Linked DNA regions of Saccharomyces cerevisiae S288C. The gene in region 3 interacts genetically with the main gene of each other region. Each region holds a gene or a part of one and is shown on either strand. Other genes may lie near its edges.

Region 1 (4,330 bases), on a different chromosome or scaffold from region 3:
TCTAAACCATTTTTCAAGGAAAACTATGACGAACTAGTCGTTAAAATTTCCCAACTATATGATATTGCCAGAACTTCAGGTCGCCCAATCAAGGGAGACTCATCTGCTGGTGGGAAGCAACAAAATTTCGTTAGACAGACAACAAAGTATTGGGTTCACCCTGATAACATTACAGAATTGAAGCTGATCATCTTGAAGCATTTACCAGTGTTAGTCTTCAACACTAATAAGGAATTCGAAAGAGAAGATTCCGCTATTACTTCGATCTATTTTGATAATGAAAATCTAGACCTTTATTATGGCAGATTAAGAAAAGATGAAGGTGCAGAAGCCCACAGATTGAGATGGTATGGGGGTATGTCTACAGACACGATCTTTGTAGAAAGAAAGACCCATAGAGAGGATTGGACTGGTGAGAAATCTGTCAAGGCAAGATTTGCGCTAAAGGAACGTCATGTTAATGACTTCTTAAAGGGTAAATATACTGTTGATCAAGTATTTGCCAAGATGCGTAAAGAAGGCAAGAAGCCAATGAACGAAATTGAAAACTTGGAGGCGTTAGCATCCGAAATTCAATACGTCATGTTAAAGAAAAAGTTGAGACCTGTAGTGAGATCATTCTACAATAGAACTGCTTTTCAATTACCTGGTGATGCAAGAGTTCGTATCTCCCTTGATACAGAGTTAACTATGGTGAGAGAAGACAACTTTGATGGTGTGGATAGAACTCATAAGAATTGGAGGAGAACTGATATTGGTGTCGATTGGCCATTCAAGCAGCTAGATGACAAGGATATTTGCCGTTTCCCATATGCAGTCCTGGAAGTTAAATTGCAAACTCAACTAGGTCAAGAACCTCCAGAGTGGGTACGTGAATTAGTCGGGTCTCACTTAGTTGAGCCAGTCCCAAAATTCTCCAAGTTTATTCATGGTGTGGCTACCTTACTAAATGATAAAGTGGATTCAATCCCATTTTGGTTACCTCAAATGGATGTTGATATCAGGAAACCTCCACTACCAACAAATATTGAAATAACAAGACCCGGTAGATCCGATAACGAAGATAACGACTTCGATGAGGATGATGAGGATGACGCTGCTTTGGTTGCTGCCATGACAAACGCACCCGGTAATTCTCTTGATATAGAAGAATCTGTTGGTTACGGGGCTACTTCGGCCCCCACCTCCAACACTAATCATGTTGTTGAGAGTGCTAATGCTGCTTATTATCAAAGAAAGATCAGGAATGCCGAAAATCCTATCTCCAAGAAATACTATGAAATCGTGGCATTTTTTGACCACTATTTTAACGGTGATCAAATATCTAAAATCCCAAAAGGTACTACTTTTGATACTCAAATTCGTGCCCCACCGGGAAAGACGATATGTGTGCCAGTTCGTGTGGAACCAAAAGTTTACTTTGCCACTGAAAGAACCTACCTGTCTTGGTTGTCCATCTCGATATTGTTGGGCGGTGTCTCCACTACTTTATTAACATATGGTTCACCAACAGCCATGATTGGCTCCATTGGGTTCTTTATTACTTCCTTGGCTGTGTTGATACGTACTGTTATGGTTTATGCCAAGAGAGTGGTAAACATTAGACTAAAGAGAGCAGTAGATTATGAGGATAAGATCGGGCCCGGCATGGTTTCTGTGTTTCTAATTCTCTCTATTTTATTTTCCTTTTTCTGCAACCTAGTTGCTAAATGAATACACAGCGTGTTTTTTTTACTGTATAATTAAGTAATAATCATATTAGATATAATAATTTCTTTAGCGCCATTTTTTTATATATGAGAACTACCCTCTTGCCTGAAATGCACACCTTCACCAGGCGCACACTGGTTCAAAAATAGTAAACAAAATCATGCGAAAATACAATAAAAGACGTTAACTTGATAGAATGAAAGCGTACGCAAAGAAACGTATCTCTTACATGCCATCGTCACCATCACAAAATGTTATTAACTTTGAAGAAATCGAAACTCAAAAAGAAAACATTCTTCCCCTGAAGGAAGGCAGATCAGCAGCGGCACTCTCGAAAGCGATACATCAACCACTGGTGGAAATAAACCAAGTTAAATCAAGCTTCGAACAAAGACTGATAGATGAGCTCCCTGCATTAAGCGACCCAATTACTTTGTATCTTGAATACATAAAGTGGCTGAACAACGCCTATCCACAAGGCGGTAATTCCAAACAATCTGGAATGCTCACCCTTTTGGAGCGATGTTTATCTCACTTAAAGGATTTGGAGAGATATCGCAATGATGTTAGGTTTCTTAAAATATGGTTTTGGTACATAGAACTTTTTACCAGAAATTCATTCATGGAAAGCAGAGACATTTTCATGTATATGTTAAGAAATGGAATTGGTTCCGAGTTAGCGTCATTTTATGAAGAATTTACGAATCTATTAATTCAGAAAGAAAAATTTCAATATGCCGTGAAAATTCTACAGCTAGGAATCAAAAATAAGGCTAGGCCTAATAAGGTTTTAGAAGACCGGTTAAACCATCTCCTGAGAGAACTGGGGGAGAACAATATTCAGCTAGGAAATGAAATATCGATGGACTCATTAGAGTCTACAGTACTTGGGAAAACCAGATCTGAATTTGTCAATAGACTAGAGCTTGCAAATCAAAATGGCACATCAAGTGACGTCAATTTAACAAAAAACAACGTATTTGTAGATGGAGAAGAGTCTGATGTAGAACTATTCGAAACTCCGAATAGAGGTGTTTATAGAGATGGCTGGGAAAATTTTGACTTAAAGGCAGAAAGGAACAAAGAAAACAACCTTCGAATATCATTGCTAGAAGCAAATACCAATTTGGGTGAGCTTAAACAACATGAGATGTTATCGCAAAAAAAGAGACCATATGATGAAAAACTACCGATCTTTAGAGATTCTATAGGTAGAAGTGACCCTGTTTATCAAATGATTAATACAAAGGACCAGAAACCAGAAAAAATTGACTGTAATTTTAAACTGATTTATTGTGAAGATGAGGAATCTAAAGGTGGTAGACTAGAATTTTCGCTAGAAGAAGTCTTGGCAATTTCTAGAAACGTTTATAAAAGGGTTAGGACAAATAGGAAACATCCAAGAGAAGCAAATTTAGGGCAAGAAGAAAGCGCAAATCAAAAAGAAGCTGAAGCACAATCGAAAAGACCAAAAATAAGTAGAAAAGCCTTAGTCTCCAAGTCGTTGACCCCCTCAAACCAGGGAAGAATGTTTTCTGGCGAAGAGTACATAAACTGCCCTATGACGCCAAAGGGACGAAGCACTGAGACGTCTGATATCATCTCAGCTGTCAAGCCGCGGCAGTTAACCCCAATTTTAGAAATGAGAGAATCAAATTCTTTTTCTCAAAGCAAAAATTCTGAGATCATTTCAGATGATGACAAGTCGAGTTCGTCTTTCATATCGTACCCACCACAGCGTTGAAATAAAACTAATCCCATGAATGAGTAAGTATACTGGCCAATCGTAAACACATCGACGGCCGACTTTTTTATTTAAAGCACAGATGATATAATGATTATTTAACGAATGATACTTCTATATTAAATCCTATGAGGAGTAATATAAATATAAAAAGGCCAATTTTAAAATGAACGTTTGTCCGATTAACGCTTATGACATACTGTAGGGATGACAAAATTATAGTGAGGACTTTAATTCTATATAAATACATTACAATAGTATAAAAAAACAAAAAAATGTGAAGAAACACCAAATATTAAACGGCAGTAATGAAGTTTAACCTCGAGGCTATTATTCTTGTTTTCTTACACCACTAACAATATCATCAACCCTTAATAGTAAACATGCACTTTCAATAGCGGTTTTGACACTTTGCTGCTTGATGACTTCAGGTTCCCAAATACCGTAACTAACCATATCTACAATTTTCCCCTTGTCACCATCAATACCTGTTGTAAAATTTCCCTGTGCGTGTTTGGCTCTTAGTTGGGATAGGAGTCTAATAGGATCACCACCTGCATTTTGTATCAAAGTACGTGGAATACACTCCATAGCATCAGCTACAGCTTGGTATGGCCATTGCTGGATCCCTTCTAATTGCTTTGCCTTTTCTGCTAATTTGACAGAAACTGCCATCTCGGTGGCACCACCACCTGGGGACAAGGAAGGACTCAACATCACATTACGAGCAACAGCCATAGCATCTTGTAGGTTACGATCTATTTCGTTTAATATATCTTTGGAACCACCACGTAACATTATGGTACAAGCTTTTGGTTCCTTGCAGTTATCCAAAAATGAGAAATATTCGTCCCCAATCATTTCTACTTTGAATAA
Region 2 (3,927 bases), on a different chromosome or scaffold from region 3:
TTTTCAACCGCCAATCACAGTATGCTATGCCACACTATCCATCTGTTCGTGCTGCGCCTAGCTATTCCTCCAGTGGCTGTTCTATATTACCGCCTCTACAATCAAAGATACCAATGTTACCATCGCGCCGTACAATGGCAGGTGGAACTTCATTGAAGCCTAACTGGGAATTTAGCCTGAACCAAAAAAGCTGTACTAATGATATTATCATGAGTAAGCTGGCGATTGAAGAAGTAGATGACGAAAGCGAGATAGAGGATGATTTCGTAGAGATGTTGGGTATAGTGAACATTATCAAGGACTACTTGTTGTGCTGTGTCATGGAAGATTTAGATGATGAAGAAAGTGAGGACAAAGATGAAGAAAACGCATTCTTGCAAGAATCTTTAGAAAAATTGAGTTTACAAAACCAAATGGGAACTAACTCAGTTCGCATCTTGACCAAGTATCCCAAAATTTTGGTATGATATGGATTGTCGGATATTTTATTCTTAGTTGTTTCTTTGCGGCTGTATAGTAAATGAATAAATCACACATGCCCTAGCGCGGCGTCGCGGATTAAACAAGGTAACAATGGTTAAAGGAAAAATTATTTGTTAAGGTGGGTATATTATAGATTGCTAATTGTAAAGTATTAATAGTTTATTAAGTATTAAACTAGAGTTCGCACATGCTTTTATTTTTTTGTTGCTTTTCTTCACGCTACCGCTTCTTGAGACTGTTGTTTGGTAGTACTGATATCTTGATCGGTTGATCCCGAGCTGCGATTACCCGTGGAGCAAACTTCTTGATCCTGCTGTAGCGTACCGTTTGCTAAGCCTTCATAGTAAAGTTCCTCGTGAAACTGGTTTCTCAACACAATGACGATGATGGCCACTGGAGTGCATACAAAGGCAATTACAACGGCATAAATCAACTTCATGACCTGCGGTAGTGGATAATCGTTGAAGTAGTAGTCGTGGGACCCGACCTTATGGCCTATACCAGCAAGGATACCCATAGTGACTGGCCAAATGACAATGAACATGGCAATGGCTAGGATCATAGATCTGATGAATTTCTGCACAAACCATTCTATAAAGTTCATGAATTTGGACTGAGTAGAATCATGAATGAACTGAGATGTGAGAAAACCTTTCAACGTAGCTTCTTTACCTTTGGGAATGATTCCTCTATTGACCTCTAAATAGCCAAAGAGCCAATTATGCTTATGATACAGAGTGTTCTGCTTCGCAACGACGTTGTCTTTGGATTCGAAGTAATCCACAATGAAACGCTTTTTAGGGGGTGGTATTTCTTCGTTAGATTCGGTTTTCAGTGGTGACGGTTTCGTAATCCATTTATTCAATCTGAAAACAGGCCTCTTGTAGTCATCGAATCCAACTAAAATTTCCTCGCTAGCCCATGTAAGACCCACCTGGATGAATAAACTTAGTGCACAATCGCCTGAAATGGTGTGAGGAAATGCCCATAAGGTGATAAGATCTACACGGGAATGGTACATGGCATATGCGATGGCAAACTCGATGCCGCCCGAGATTATTGCAGAACCTAGCGCTTGGATGACGAAAAGGTAGAAGATGATGAACCAGATGGAATTTCTGAACCCGGTCGGGGTCGCTGGCGCTGGCTCTGAGGATTTCATATATGTGAAGAGCGTCTATTTTCAAGGGTGTTGATGCATATATATCCGTATATATGTGTGCCGGTGGAAGGTTATAACATCTTGAAGAAAGAAAGAGGAGAAATTGGTTTTAGATCAAGGACAGATAAACTATATCTTTCAAAAGCCGATGCAAATCGTATACAGCAAATATCAATGAAGGAATGCGATGGAGGTGATGCTAGTGTGGACTGCACTATTTTTTTTTCCTGTTTTTTTCCACTTTTGTGTAGGAAGAGTATTGAATCAGGAAAGCGGGAAAAACCGCAAAGAAAAAAGTAAACTTATCCGTGAAAATCAATTACATTACCGAAAATGGCAAGATCCAAACAAGAAAAGTAAGTAAACGAATGCGAATACTGGAACAAGCAGGGCATAAAGAGGCACATGCGTCGTTTGTAGCCGACGTGCTTCATTTATCAGGTTAGTTGGCAGCGGCTGGACCATACAGGTTCTCACAATGTGTTGGTCTACGTTCGGTCATGCACCACGGTTGTTCCGTCAAACGGTCAGAAAACACACGCGGAAAATCCAAAGGAAAAGATGGGAGAGAAAAAACATGAAGTTGAGAAGCAACGAAACAAGGTTTGATCCAGAAAGGGGAGGCTAAAGGCGAAAAAGGCGAAAGAAAAGCGTTTAAGAGAATTTTACAAACGTAGTAAAATAATGGGTGTCATCAAGAAGAAAAGATCGCACCATGGAAAGGCTTCGCGCCAACAATACTACTCTGGGGTACAGGTTGGGGGAGTAGGCAGCATGGGCGCCATAAACAATAACATCCCGTCGTTGACGAGCTTCGCGGAGGAAAACAACTATCAGTACGGATACAGCGGCTCCAGTGCCGGCATGAATGGCAGATCGCTTACGTACGCGCAGCAACAGCTTAATAAGCAAAGACAGGACTTCGAACGTGTACGACTTAGACCAGAACAGCTCAGCAATATCATACATGACGAGAGCGACACGATATCGTTCCGATCCAACCTTTTGAAGAACTTTATAAGCTCGAACGACGCATTTAACATGCTGAGTTTGACCACGGTACCGTGCGACAGAATTGAGAAGTCCAGATTGTTCAGTGAAAAAACAATAAGATATCTCATGCAAAAACAACACGAAATGAAAACACAAGCGGCAGAGTTGCAAGAAAAGCCTCTGACGCCACTTAAATACACAAAACTTATAGCTGCGGCAGAGGACGGAAGCCGTAGCACAAAGGATATGATAGATGCTGTCTTCGAGCAAGATAGTCATTTGAGGTACCAGCCGGACGGCGTGGTCGTACATCGTGACGATCCTGCGCTGGTGGGTAAACTCCGCGGAGATCTCCGCGAAGCGCCGGCGGACTACTGGACGCATGCTTATAGGGATGTTTTGGCGCAATACCACGAGGCCAAGGAGCGTATCAGGCAGAAGGAAGTAACTGCAGGTGAAGCACAGGACGAAGCCAGCTTGCAGCAGCAACAGCAGCAAGATTTGCAGCAACAGCAACAAGTAGTGACTACAGTTGCCTCGCAAAGTCCTCATGCAACTGCAACGGAAAAGGAGCCAGTACCCGCCGTGGTTGACGACCCACTGGAGAACATGTTCGGAGATTATTCCAATGAGCCGTTCAACACCAATTTCGACGATGAATTTGGAGATCTTGATGCTGTATTTTTTTAATAGCCATGGGCGGCTACTTCTTGGAAATATATACTTTCCTTTTACATATTTAGTATAGTTATACATGTGGATGTGTATGGAGGTAAGATCAGATAGACCCTTCACTGTTTTCTGTGTATTCCTTGTGACATAGTGGATTTGTGCAGCTACTGCTTATAGGAAGCAGTGCCTGCAAAACAATTCATTCGTTGGTTGATGTGGCGCGCTGACTGAATGTGTAGGGTCTGTTGTTACCCCCTTGCTCCGGGGGCCCACATCTCTCTGACGCGAAGAAAGGCTCGAGATGTGCCAGTCGTAAACACCGCCTCATTTCCCTTGCATTCTCCTCCAGTGAAAAAGCAGTACGACCTATCTCCGAAAAAAAAAAACCTCCTGTGCGTTTACTGTGGATCATGCAACACGATTTCTGTAGATTAAAGACGTTTTTGGCATGGACTAAGCTAAATTCCGTTTGATTAGCCGCCCATAACGGGTGGCAAACAACACGATGAAACTCTATATCCCCGCTTAACGTTTCGGCGGCTGTGATCAAGGAAAATAGTATATAAGTTCGTCGGATTTCTTATTTGTTTTCTCTCTTCCTTTCTCTCTCCCTTTCT
Region 3 (5,373 bases):
ACAAGGAACTCTAACTACACATTCTTCGTTTAACGGATCGAGCGTTTTCAGACAACCAAAGATCATTGAGCCACCTGCCCAAGATCCTTGTTTAGAGGCGGCGCCTAAAAAGATCAGAATTCCCGCAGGTGTTAAAGTGTTCTTTGGCAGGCCTACACTTGGAGATAAGGATTATGAATGGTGTCTGCAAACCGAATGTGATGCAGAGACGGATTCTATTCAATGTTGCAGGTGGGCGAATCAAGGCAGAGACCATGCTGAATATTTGTCACAAGTATGGGTTCTCGCTGCAGGCCCTAGAGGCTTAATTGAAAGCACCAAAAGATGGGCGACAGATGGTGGTTTACACTTTCACGGAGAAAGTTTTGCATTATAAGAGTTGCAAGTTGGCTATTAGTTTATGAGGCTTGGAAAATTCACGTATTTGATGGTGGCATATCTATAATGTCCCGTTTTGCTCTTTAATCTTACTGTCAAAAAAGGGCCCTATGTACGATCTTTTCTAACTGATTTTTTCCGAGAAAAGTTCCGCAGGCTGATTTAGTTTTTTTCTGGTGGTTGTCAAGCCTCTCTCCACTTGGTGATAGTTGCGAAAAATGACAGCGGATATTAATGGATATTAGCGGGAATAAGCACATTTCCATATTGATTATTTGTATGTCTAGCAACTTATAAGATGAATTATAAAAGGCATATAAGTTCTTCTTGGTACTGAATACATGACACTCTCACTACTGTACTAGAGACTTATTGTCGATAAAAGAACTCAACTGCCTCAATAGGAATTTTTTTACTAAAGCAATCACTGATTATGAAGGTTTTTATGCATACAATCCTCACAAAGGTGCAGCGATTGCATTTGTCGTTCTGTTTGGCATTTTAATCCTTTCTGCCTTGGTGCAGATCATAATGGCAACACACACGAGCAAGAGACGTATTCATCGCTGGGAAAACAATGAGTTGTCAGAGGAAAATTCCACAATAATATACTTTCCTGCCCGCGGTTTGATGTGGACACATTTTCCTTTCGTTTTAGGGATTTGTTTAGAGTTCGTGGGTTATGTGTTGAAAATAGTCTTTATCAATAGCCCCTCGATTTCGACTTTCATTGCTCAATCGGTGCTTCTATTGATAGCACCTTCACTTTACGCCCTTAGTATTTTTATGTTGTTCAGCAAAATGGCACGTCTAATTCTTATGGAGGCATATATGTTAATTCCTGCGAAATTTAGTACAGTTTCTTTCGTAGTGGCAGATATGATTGGGCGTGTCCTACAGGCTGTAGGAGGTGGGTTGTTATCCTCATGGAACAGCAGGAATACTGGGCGTATCCTAATTATTGTGGGTCTTTTCATTCAGATATTTTGTTATACCTTTTTAACGTTCAGTCAACTTTTTCTTCACTATAAAATGAAGGCAACGCCTAGTAAAATTGTGCGGGATAGTAATGAATGGTTCCAGTACAATTTTATACTTTTAGCTGGGATATTGCTGGTTAATGGTAGAACCATTGTCAGAGTAGTACAATTTCTAATGGGCTTACAAAGCTATATAGGTCAGCACGAATGGTGCCTTTACGTTTTCGATACAGTTCTAATGTTTTTACTACCTTTGATTTTCCTAGCAACCTTTCGCGCAAGAAATTTGTTCAAGCTGCAGGATAAATCTGTCAATATTCAATTAAACAAATTATTAGACAAGGAATCTGTGTCTGAAGATTAAGTAGTCAAAAATTTATTAATTAAATAGTTGGATAATATTTGTGCTGGGCATTAGAAGTCAATCTTGTCTTTTCCTTTATATGGTGCAAAGATTATCATGGTTAACGAATCTATTTTTTTTCGTGTCGTTTTTGTTTTTGTTTTTGTTTTTGTTTTGTCTGCTTGACACTCCATAGGAAGAGTAAATGAAGAACCTACCAGACCTAGGGACCAAATAGCATTACTAAACTACAAAGAAACAGCTATCTTTACAGTGTAAAGTATTTTTGAGTTTTTATTAAAGAGTTTGAAGTTGACTATGTCAGGAGAAGAAGAAGTAGATTATACAACGTTACCCCTAGAAGAGCGATTAACGTACAAGTTATGGAAGGCACGTTTAGAAGCTTATAAGGAGTTAAACCAGCTTTTTAGAAACTCCGTTGGCGACATCAGTAGGGATGACAACATACAAATTTACTGGAGGGATCCTACATTATTTGCACAATATATAACTGATTCTAATGTGGTCGCTCAAGAACAAGCCATTGTTGCCTTGAATAGTTTAATAGATGCCTTTGCGTCATCGTCTTTGAAAAATGCACATAATATTACTTTAATATCAACATGGACACCATTGCTTGTGGAAAAGGGCTTAACGTCCTCAAGGGCTACAACGAAGACGCAGTCGATGAGCTGTATACTCTCACTATGTGGTCTTGATACATCTATTACGCAATCGGTGGAATTGGTAATACCCTTTTTCGAGAAAAAACTGCCAAAATTAATTGCTGCGGCAGCCAATTGTGTTTATGAGTTGATGGCTGCATTCGGGCTCACTAATGTGAACGTTCAAACGTTTCTACCAGAATTATTAAAGCACGTACCTCAACTAGCCGGTCATGGTGATAGAAACGTTCGATCACAAACGATGAATTTGATTGTCGAGATCTATAAGGTTACGGGCAACAATAGCGACTTGTTAGAGGAGATACTGTTTAAAAAATTAAAACCAATTCAAGTGAAAGATCTTCATAAATTGTTTGCAAAAGTTGGTGACGAGCCATCGTCATCGAAAATGTTATTCGAGTGGGAGAAAAGAGAATTGGAAAAGAAAAGAAGCCAAGAGGAGGAAGCCAGGAAAAGAAAGTCCATATTATCGAATGATGAGGGGGAATATCAGATAGATAAGGATGGAGATACATTGATGGGGATGGAAACGGATATGCCACCATCAAAACAGCAAAGTGGAGTTCAAATAGACACCTTCAGTATGCTACCGGAGGAGACGATCCTCGATAAACTGCCTAAGGACTTCCAGGAAAGGATAACGTCGTCCAAATGGAAAGATAGAGTGGAAGCGCTGGAAGAATTTTGGGATAGTGTTCTATCGCAGACTAAGAAGTTAAAAAGCACCTCGCAAAATTATTCCAACTTATTGGGGATATATGGCCATATTATCCAGAAAGATGCAAACATTCAAGCTGTTGCACTAGCCGCTCAATCAGTAGAATTAATCTGCGACAAACTAAAAACACCAGGCTTTTCCAAGGATTATGTTTCACTAGTCTTCACTCCCTTGTTAGACAGGACAAAGGAAAAGAAACCTTCTGTGATAGAGGCCATTAGGAAGGCATTATTAACCATCTGCAAGTATTACGATCCATTAGCCTCCAGTGGACGCAATGAAGATATGTTGAAAGATATTTTGGAGCATATGAAGCACAAGACACCTCAAATCAGAATGGAGTGTACGCAATTGTTTAATGCAAGCATGAAAGAAGAAAAAGATGGATACTCGACCCTGCAAAGATACTTGAAGGATGAAGTGGTACCAATTGTGATTCAGATCGTCAACGACACCCAACCTGCTATAAGAACTATTGGATTTGAGAGTTTCGCCATTCTAATTAAAATATTTGGCATGAATACCTTTGTGAAAACATTAGAGCACTTGGATAATTTGAAAAGGAAAAAAATTGAAGAAACGGTCAAAACTCTACCTAATTTCAGTATTGCAAGTGGTAGTACCCATAGCACTATTGAAACGAATAAACAAACTGGGCCAATGGAGAATAAATTTCTCCTGAAAAAAAGTTCTGTACTTCCCTCCAAGAGAGTGGCATCTTCACCGCTGAGAAATGATAACAAAAGTAAAGTGAACCCAATAGGGTCAGTAGCCTCCGCATCAAAACCATCAATGGTAGCTGCTAACAATAAATCGAGGGTCCTGTTGACGTCTAAGTCTTTGGCAACGCCAAAAAACGTAGTAGCTAATAGCACTGACAAGAATGAAAAGTTGATTGAAGAATACAAGTACAGACTGCAAAAACTACAAAATGATGAGATGATATGGACCAAAGAAAGACAAAGCCTATTGGAAAAGATGAATAATACAGAAAATTATAAGATCGAAATGATTAAAGAAAACGAAATGCTAAGAGAGCAACTAAAGGAAGCGCAGTCTAAATTGAACGAAAAGAACATTCAATTAAGATCCAAGGAGATTGATGTCAATAAGCTGTCTGATAGAGTACTGTCACTAGAAAACGAGCTTAGAAACATGGAGATCGAATTGGATAGAAATAAGAAAAGAAATGATACAAACTTGCAATCGATGGGTACGATTTCATCATACTCCATACCTTCTTCCACCGTGTCAAGCAACTATGGGGTAAAATCTTTATCTTCCGCTTTGCCATTTAAGGAGGAGGAAGATGTCAGAAGGAAAGAGGACGTCAACTATGAAAGAAGATCAAGCGAGTCCATCGGCGACCTGCCGCACCGCGTAAACTCTCTTAACATACGGCCGTACAGAAAAAACGGCACTGGAGTGAGCAGTGTCTCCGACGATTTGGATATCGATTTCAACGATAGTTTTGCCTCAGAAGAAAGTTATAAACGTGCCGCTGCAGTGACATCTACCCTAAAGGCCAGAATTGAAAAAATGAAGGCCAAATCAAGGCGGGAAGGGACAACCAGGACGTAAAGGGTAGCCTCCCCATAACATAAACTCAATAAAATATATAGTCTTCAACTTGAAAAAGGAACAAGCTCATGCAAAGAGGTGGTACCCGCACGCCGAAATGCATGCAAGTAACCTATTCAAAGTAATATCTCATACATGTTTCATGAGGGTAACAACATGCGACTGGGTGAGCATATGTTCCGCTGATGTGATGTGCAAGATAAACAAGCAAGGCAGAAACTAACTTCTTCTTCATGTAATAAACACACCCCGCGTTTATTTACCTATCTCTAAACTTCAACACCTTATATCATAACTAATATTTCTTGAGATAAGCACACTGCACCCATACCTTCCTTAAAAACGTAGCTTCCAGTTTTTGGTGGTTCCGGCTTCCTTCCCGATTCCGCCCGCTAAACGCATATTTTTGTTGCCTGGTGGCATTTGCAAAATGCATAACCTATGCATTTAAAAGATTATGTATGCTCTTCTGACTTTTCGTGTGATGAGGCTCGTGGAAAAAATGAATAATTTATGAATTTGAGAACAATTTTGTGTTGTTACGGTATTTTACTATGGAATAATCAATCAATTGAGGATTTTATGCAAATATCGTTTGAATATTTTTCCGACCCTTTGAGTACTTTTCTTCATAATTGCATAATATTGTCCGCTGCCCCTTTTTCTGTTAGACGGTGTCTTGATCTA
Region 4 (4,445 bases), on a different chromosome or scaffold from region 3:
TAACTTTTCTCGTTACAAGCGGGTAATATCCTAATCATTGTAATTAAGACGTTGCTTCCCTGGGAAGAAAATAGTATAAACATAAGATATAATAGTTTTTAAAATGGTCAACGTATGCGATGCACAACTAAAAGGTACCAATTCATTAAATATTATAATATTTACTTCTTACTATTACACGAAAGACAAGTGTGAAATGCCTAGGAGATTGATGATTGACAAGCTCTGGCCTTGCAATAAAAATACTTATACACAACTTCAAATAATATAGAAAAGAAAGAAGACTATAAGCTAAAAATGTAGACAACCTCATTTAAATATTATTCTTAGGACTTGGTAATAATAGCTAATTTGTATATTATTCACCTCGGTCACCGCCTGTAATCACCTTTAACGAAAATAGATGCCCAGCCAATCAAAGCGCATTATGGAGTCGTCTAGGAAGGGGCCGTCCCATCATTGTAAAAGTTCATGTTAAATTAGATGGAGGATAACAATAAAGGTATCGTACACACACTGCTAAAAGAGCCTCAATCAATTTGTGAAGGTATAACTGTAGCCGTGAGGATAGGAAAATGTTACGTTCAATTATTGGAAAGAGTGCATCAAGATCATTGAATTTCGTCGCTAAGCGTTCATATGCAGAAGCTGCTGCCGCATCATCAGGTTTGAAGTTACAATTTGCTCTACCACACGAAACTTTATATAGTGGCTCCGAAGTTACTCAAGTGAACCTGCCTGCTAAGTCAGGACGTATTGGTGTATTGGCCAACCATGTTCCCACCGTTGAACAATTACTACCAGGTGTCGTTGAAGTTATGGAAGGCTCTAACTCTAAAAAATTCTTTATATCAGGTGGATTTGCAACAGTTCAACCAGACTCGCAGTTATGTGTAACTGCAATTGAAGCTTTTCCATTGGAATCCTTTTCACAAGAAAATATAAAAAATTTGTTGGCAGAAGCTAAGAAGAACGTTAGTTCATCTGATGCCAGGGAAGCCGCAGAAGCTGCAATTCAAGTAGAAGTTTTAGAAAACCTACAATCCGTATTGAAATAGCGTTTTTATGGTACGCATTCTAGAACTTGAGGGGAAGAAGTCTACGTTTTTAAGTGTTGACAAGCAATTCGCTTGAAAGCGCCAAAATTCATTGTTTGTTCTACTCGAATTTAAGTTTCCATTTTGGTTGATGTCTTAAGTATACAGAGAAACCGTTTATTAGCGTATATATACAGAAAATTTTATTATTTTATATTCAAAAACAAGAAAACAAAAGAGAAAACATTAACATGTAATTTTCATAACTAATAGTCCTAGAAAGTAATACTTTTTACAACTGTTTCTTTAAATCCTGTATGAAAGCCCTAGTTGCAGATCATCGTGTTATTCCAGTGAGTTTTCACTTCCCTAAGTCCTTCCTATTTATGTTTTAGTCCTTCTTGCACAGCAATTTTACTTCGGGCACTGTTGCCGTATATTCTAAAAAAATGAAAAAAACGTTCATGCCCCAGCGAAAACCAGTGTTTCCTCGTATTCGTGTCAGTAATTACACCAAAGTTTGTTCTACACTAAATCACGAATAAAGTGGGAGATTGAGTTCAACAAAATATCTGATTATAAAAGTATGAGAACAAGAAAATTAAGGAGCCTCCATAATAAGGTGCTTTTAATTGAGAATGAATGTTCATTAGTTGCTATATTGATGGTGATGGAACTCCAATTACCTAATCAAAAATATGAATGTTTATGCGAATAAGAGTTTGTAAAGAAAAAGATCCCTGTAGACTGGATGTGAGATGATGATTTCATTCCCGGCCTCTTAAATAAAAACAATTACCACTGCAAAAATGTTCTTCAAACGCGTTTATTATATAATGAAAAAGAAATTCAAATTTTTCGCGTTTGAAAATTTATGCTAAACAAATAACTCGAGGAGGGACGCGTCGAGAAAATCGCGTCTTTCTACTCTCACAGTGCTTGCATACGTATGGTATACAGTATCAAAAGTAGCAGAATTTGTCTTCATTATGATATATATATATATATGTACATATATATAGGGTGCTAAAAAGTATTCTTTTTGCTATTATTATTGCTTAAATCGCCGACCTTTTTCCCATTGTCACGAGAACATAATTGTTAAACCAATAAAAGGAAAATCCATAACAAAAAAGGACTGGTCAAAGAAAAGACAACTCAATTGCACAATTACTTTACAAGAAACACGACAATGGTTACAGAAAATCCTCAACGTCTTACTGTTTTAAGACTTGCCACCAATAAGGGTCCATTAGCACAAATATGGCTTGCTTCAAATATGTCGAATATACCAAGAGGATCGGTTATCCAAACACATATTGCTGAATCAGCAAAGGAAATTGCAAAAGCTTCTGGCTGTGATGACGAATCAGGGGACAATGAATACATAACTTTACGAACATCTGGCGAATTACTTCAAGGCATTGTTCGTGTATATTCCAAACAGGCCACTTTTCTCCTTACAGATATAAAGGACACATTAACGAAGATAAGTATGTTATTTAAAACAAGCCAGAAGATGACTTCTACAGTAAACAGACTGAACACTGTAACAAGGGTTCATCAATTGATGTTAGAAGATGCCGTTACAGAAAGAGAAGTTTTGGTCACCCCAGGGTTAGAGTTCTTAGATGATACTACTATACCAGTGGGCTTAATGGCGCAGGAGAATTCGATGGAAAGAAAAGTCCAAGGTGCTGCTCCCTGGGATACTTCACTTGAGGTCGGTAGACGATTCAGTCCAGATGAAGATTTCGAACATAATAATTTGTCTAGTATGAACCTTGATTTTGACATCGAGGAAGGTCCGATAACTTCAAAATCTTGGGAAGAAGGAACAAGACAAAGCTCACGCAACTTTGATACGCACGAAAATTACATACAAGATGACGATTTCCCTCTTGATGATGCTGGAACTATTGGTTGGGATCTAGGGATTACCGAAAAAAATGACCAGAACAACGATGATGACGATAACTCTGTTGAGCAAGGAAGAAGGCTAGGTGAATCAATCATGTCTGAGGAGCCTACGGATTTTGGATTTGATCTGGATATAGAAAAAGAAGCACCCGCAGGCAATATAGATACGATAACCGATGCCATGACAGAATCACAGCCAAAACAAACTGGCACAAGAAGGAACTCAAAATTACTGAATACCAAAAGTATTCAAATCGATGAAGAAACAGAAAATTCAGAAAGCATAGCTTCATCCAATACATACAAAGAGGAGAGATCGAATAATTTATTGACTCCACAGCCCACCAATTTTACGACTAAAAGATTATGGAGTGAAATAACTGAAAGTATGTCCTATTTACCAGATCCAATCCTTAAGAACTTCTTATCCTACGAATCTCTAAAAAAAAGAAAAATACATAATGGGCGAGAAGGGTCAATTGAAGAACCTGAGTTAAACGTGTCGCTTAATCTTACCGACGATGTAATTAGTAATGCGGGAACAAACGATAACTCCTTCAATGAACTGACCGATAACATGTCAGACTTCGTACCAATTGATGCTGGCTTAAATGAGGCTCCTTTTCCTGAAGAGAATATCATCGACGCAAAGACTAGAAATGAGCAAACTACCATCCAAACTGAAAAAGTTCGTCCTACTCCCGGTGAGGTGGCTTCTAAAGCTATTGTTCAAATGGCGAAGATTTTAAGGAAGGAATTAAGCGAAGAAAAAGAAGTAATATTCACGGATGTACTAAAAAGTCAAGCAAATACAGAACCAGAAAATATTACTAAAAGAGAAGCCAGTAGAGGATTTTTCGATATTTTATCACTTGCTACAGAAGGATGTATTGGTTTGAGTCAAACAGAAGCATTCGGAAATATTAAAATAGACGCCAAACCTGCACTATTTGAAAGGTTTATCAATGCTTAAAACCTAGTTACGCCGAGGGGATTTCTTGGTGGACCCAATAAGCTGATGCATATATAGATCAAAGACTTTAATTTATAAAATTGTCAATATTTAATATTAATATTCACAAAATACGATAAAATTCAAACTAATGCGGTAGAGCCACTACTGGCCGCAAGGCAGAATGATCTTGGCAACTCTACACGCTGGTGCATGGGTAGTATTTATTCTAAAACTTGCTGTATTATTTTGAATAGTGATATTAGGAATCGTCTGCCCACGTACACCGGTGAAGCCGAAATTTTCTCATGGAAACCTTGGGAATAGAAGAAAGGTCCATTGTAAGTGCTACATACTGACCATCTTACATAATCTTACACAACCCTGGTAATAAAGCCACGTCTAGAAAGTTTTCCAGGCCAAACAATCTTCTTTTCCATTAGCTTTGGTACATTAGCAGCCAGAGGAAACATTATGCAGTTTTTAAAGGCTCAACTTTTTATCTAATATACAAAACAATAAAGTTGAACAATTTC

Evidence for each region.
Region 1: mutations in STU2 (region 3) and MAD3 together harm fitness more than expected from each alone (negative genetic interaction), as found in Saccharomyces cerevisiae (3 studies listed by BioGRID, with this or other methods).
Region 2: mutations in STU2 (region 3) and SNF6 together harm fitness more than expected from each alone (negative genetic interaction), as found in Saccharomyces cerevisiae (2 studies listed by BioGRID).
Region 4: mutations in STU2 (region 3) and MCD1 together harm fitness more than expected from each alone (negative genetic interaction), as found in Saccharomyces cerevisiae (2 studies listed by BioGRID).

What each region holds. Positions count from the first base shown.
Region 1 is NC_001142.9:408,617-412,946, reverse strand, and holds MAD3 (Mad3p), read left to right. Parts: upstream 1-1,906; coding exon 1,907-3,454; downstream 3,455-4,330. Other genes in the region: VTC4 (Vtc4p), read left to right, coding at 1-1,713; chaperonin-containing T-complex subunit CCT3, read right to left, coding at 3,785-4,330.
Region 2 is NC_001140.6:52,522-56,448, forward strand, and holds SNF6 (Snf6p), read left to right. Parts: upstream 1-2,329; coding exon 2,330-3,328; downstream 3,329-3,927. Other genes in the region: alkaline-responsive transcriptional regulator RIM101, read left to right, coding at 1-467; YHL026C (uncharacterized protein), read right to left, coding at 698-1,645. UniProt on the Saccharomyces cerevisiae protein: Involved in transcriptional activation. Component of the SWI/SNF complex, an ATP-dependent chromatin remodeling complex, which is required for the positive and negative regulation of gene expression of a large number of genes.
Region 3 is NC_001144.5:234,350-239,722, reverse strand, and holds STU2 (Stu2p), read left to right. Parts: upstream 1-2,019; coding exon 2,020-4,686; downstream 4,687-5,373. Other genes in the region: FRE8 (putative ferric-chelate reductase), read left to right, coding at 1-376; YLR046C (uncharacterized protein), read left to right, coding at 910-1,722.
Region 4 is NC_001136.10:442,454-446,898, forward strand, and holds MCD1 (kleisin alpha), read left to right. Parts: upstream 1-2,229; coding exon 2,230-3,930; downstream 3,931-4,445. Other genes in the region: ATP16 (F1F0 ATP synthase subunit delta), read left to right, coding at 576-1,058. UniProt on the Saccharomyces cerevisiae protein: Cleavable component of the cohesin complex involved in chromosome cohesion during cell cycle. The cohesin complex is required for the cohesion of sister chromatids after DNA replication.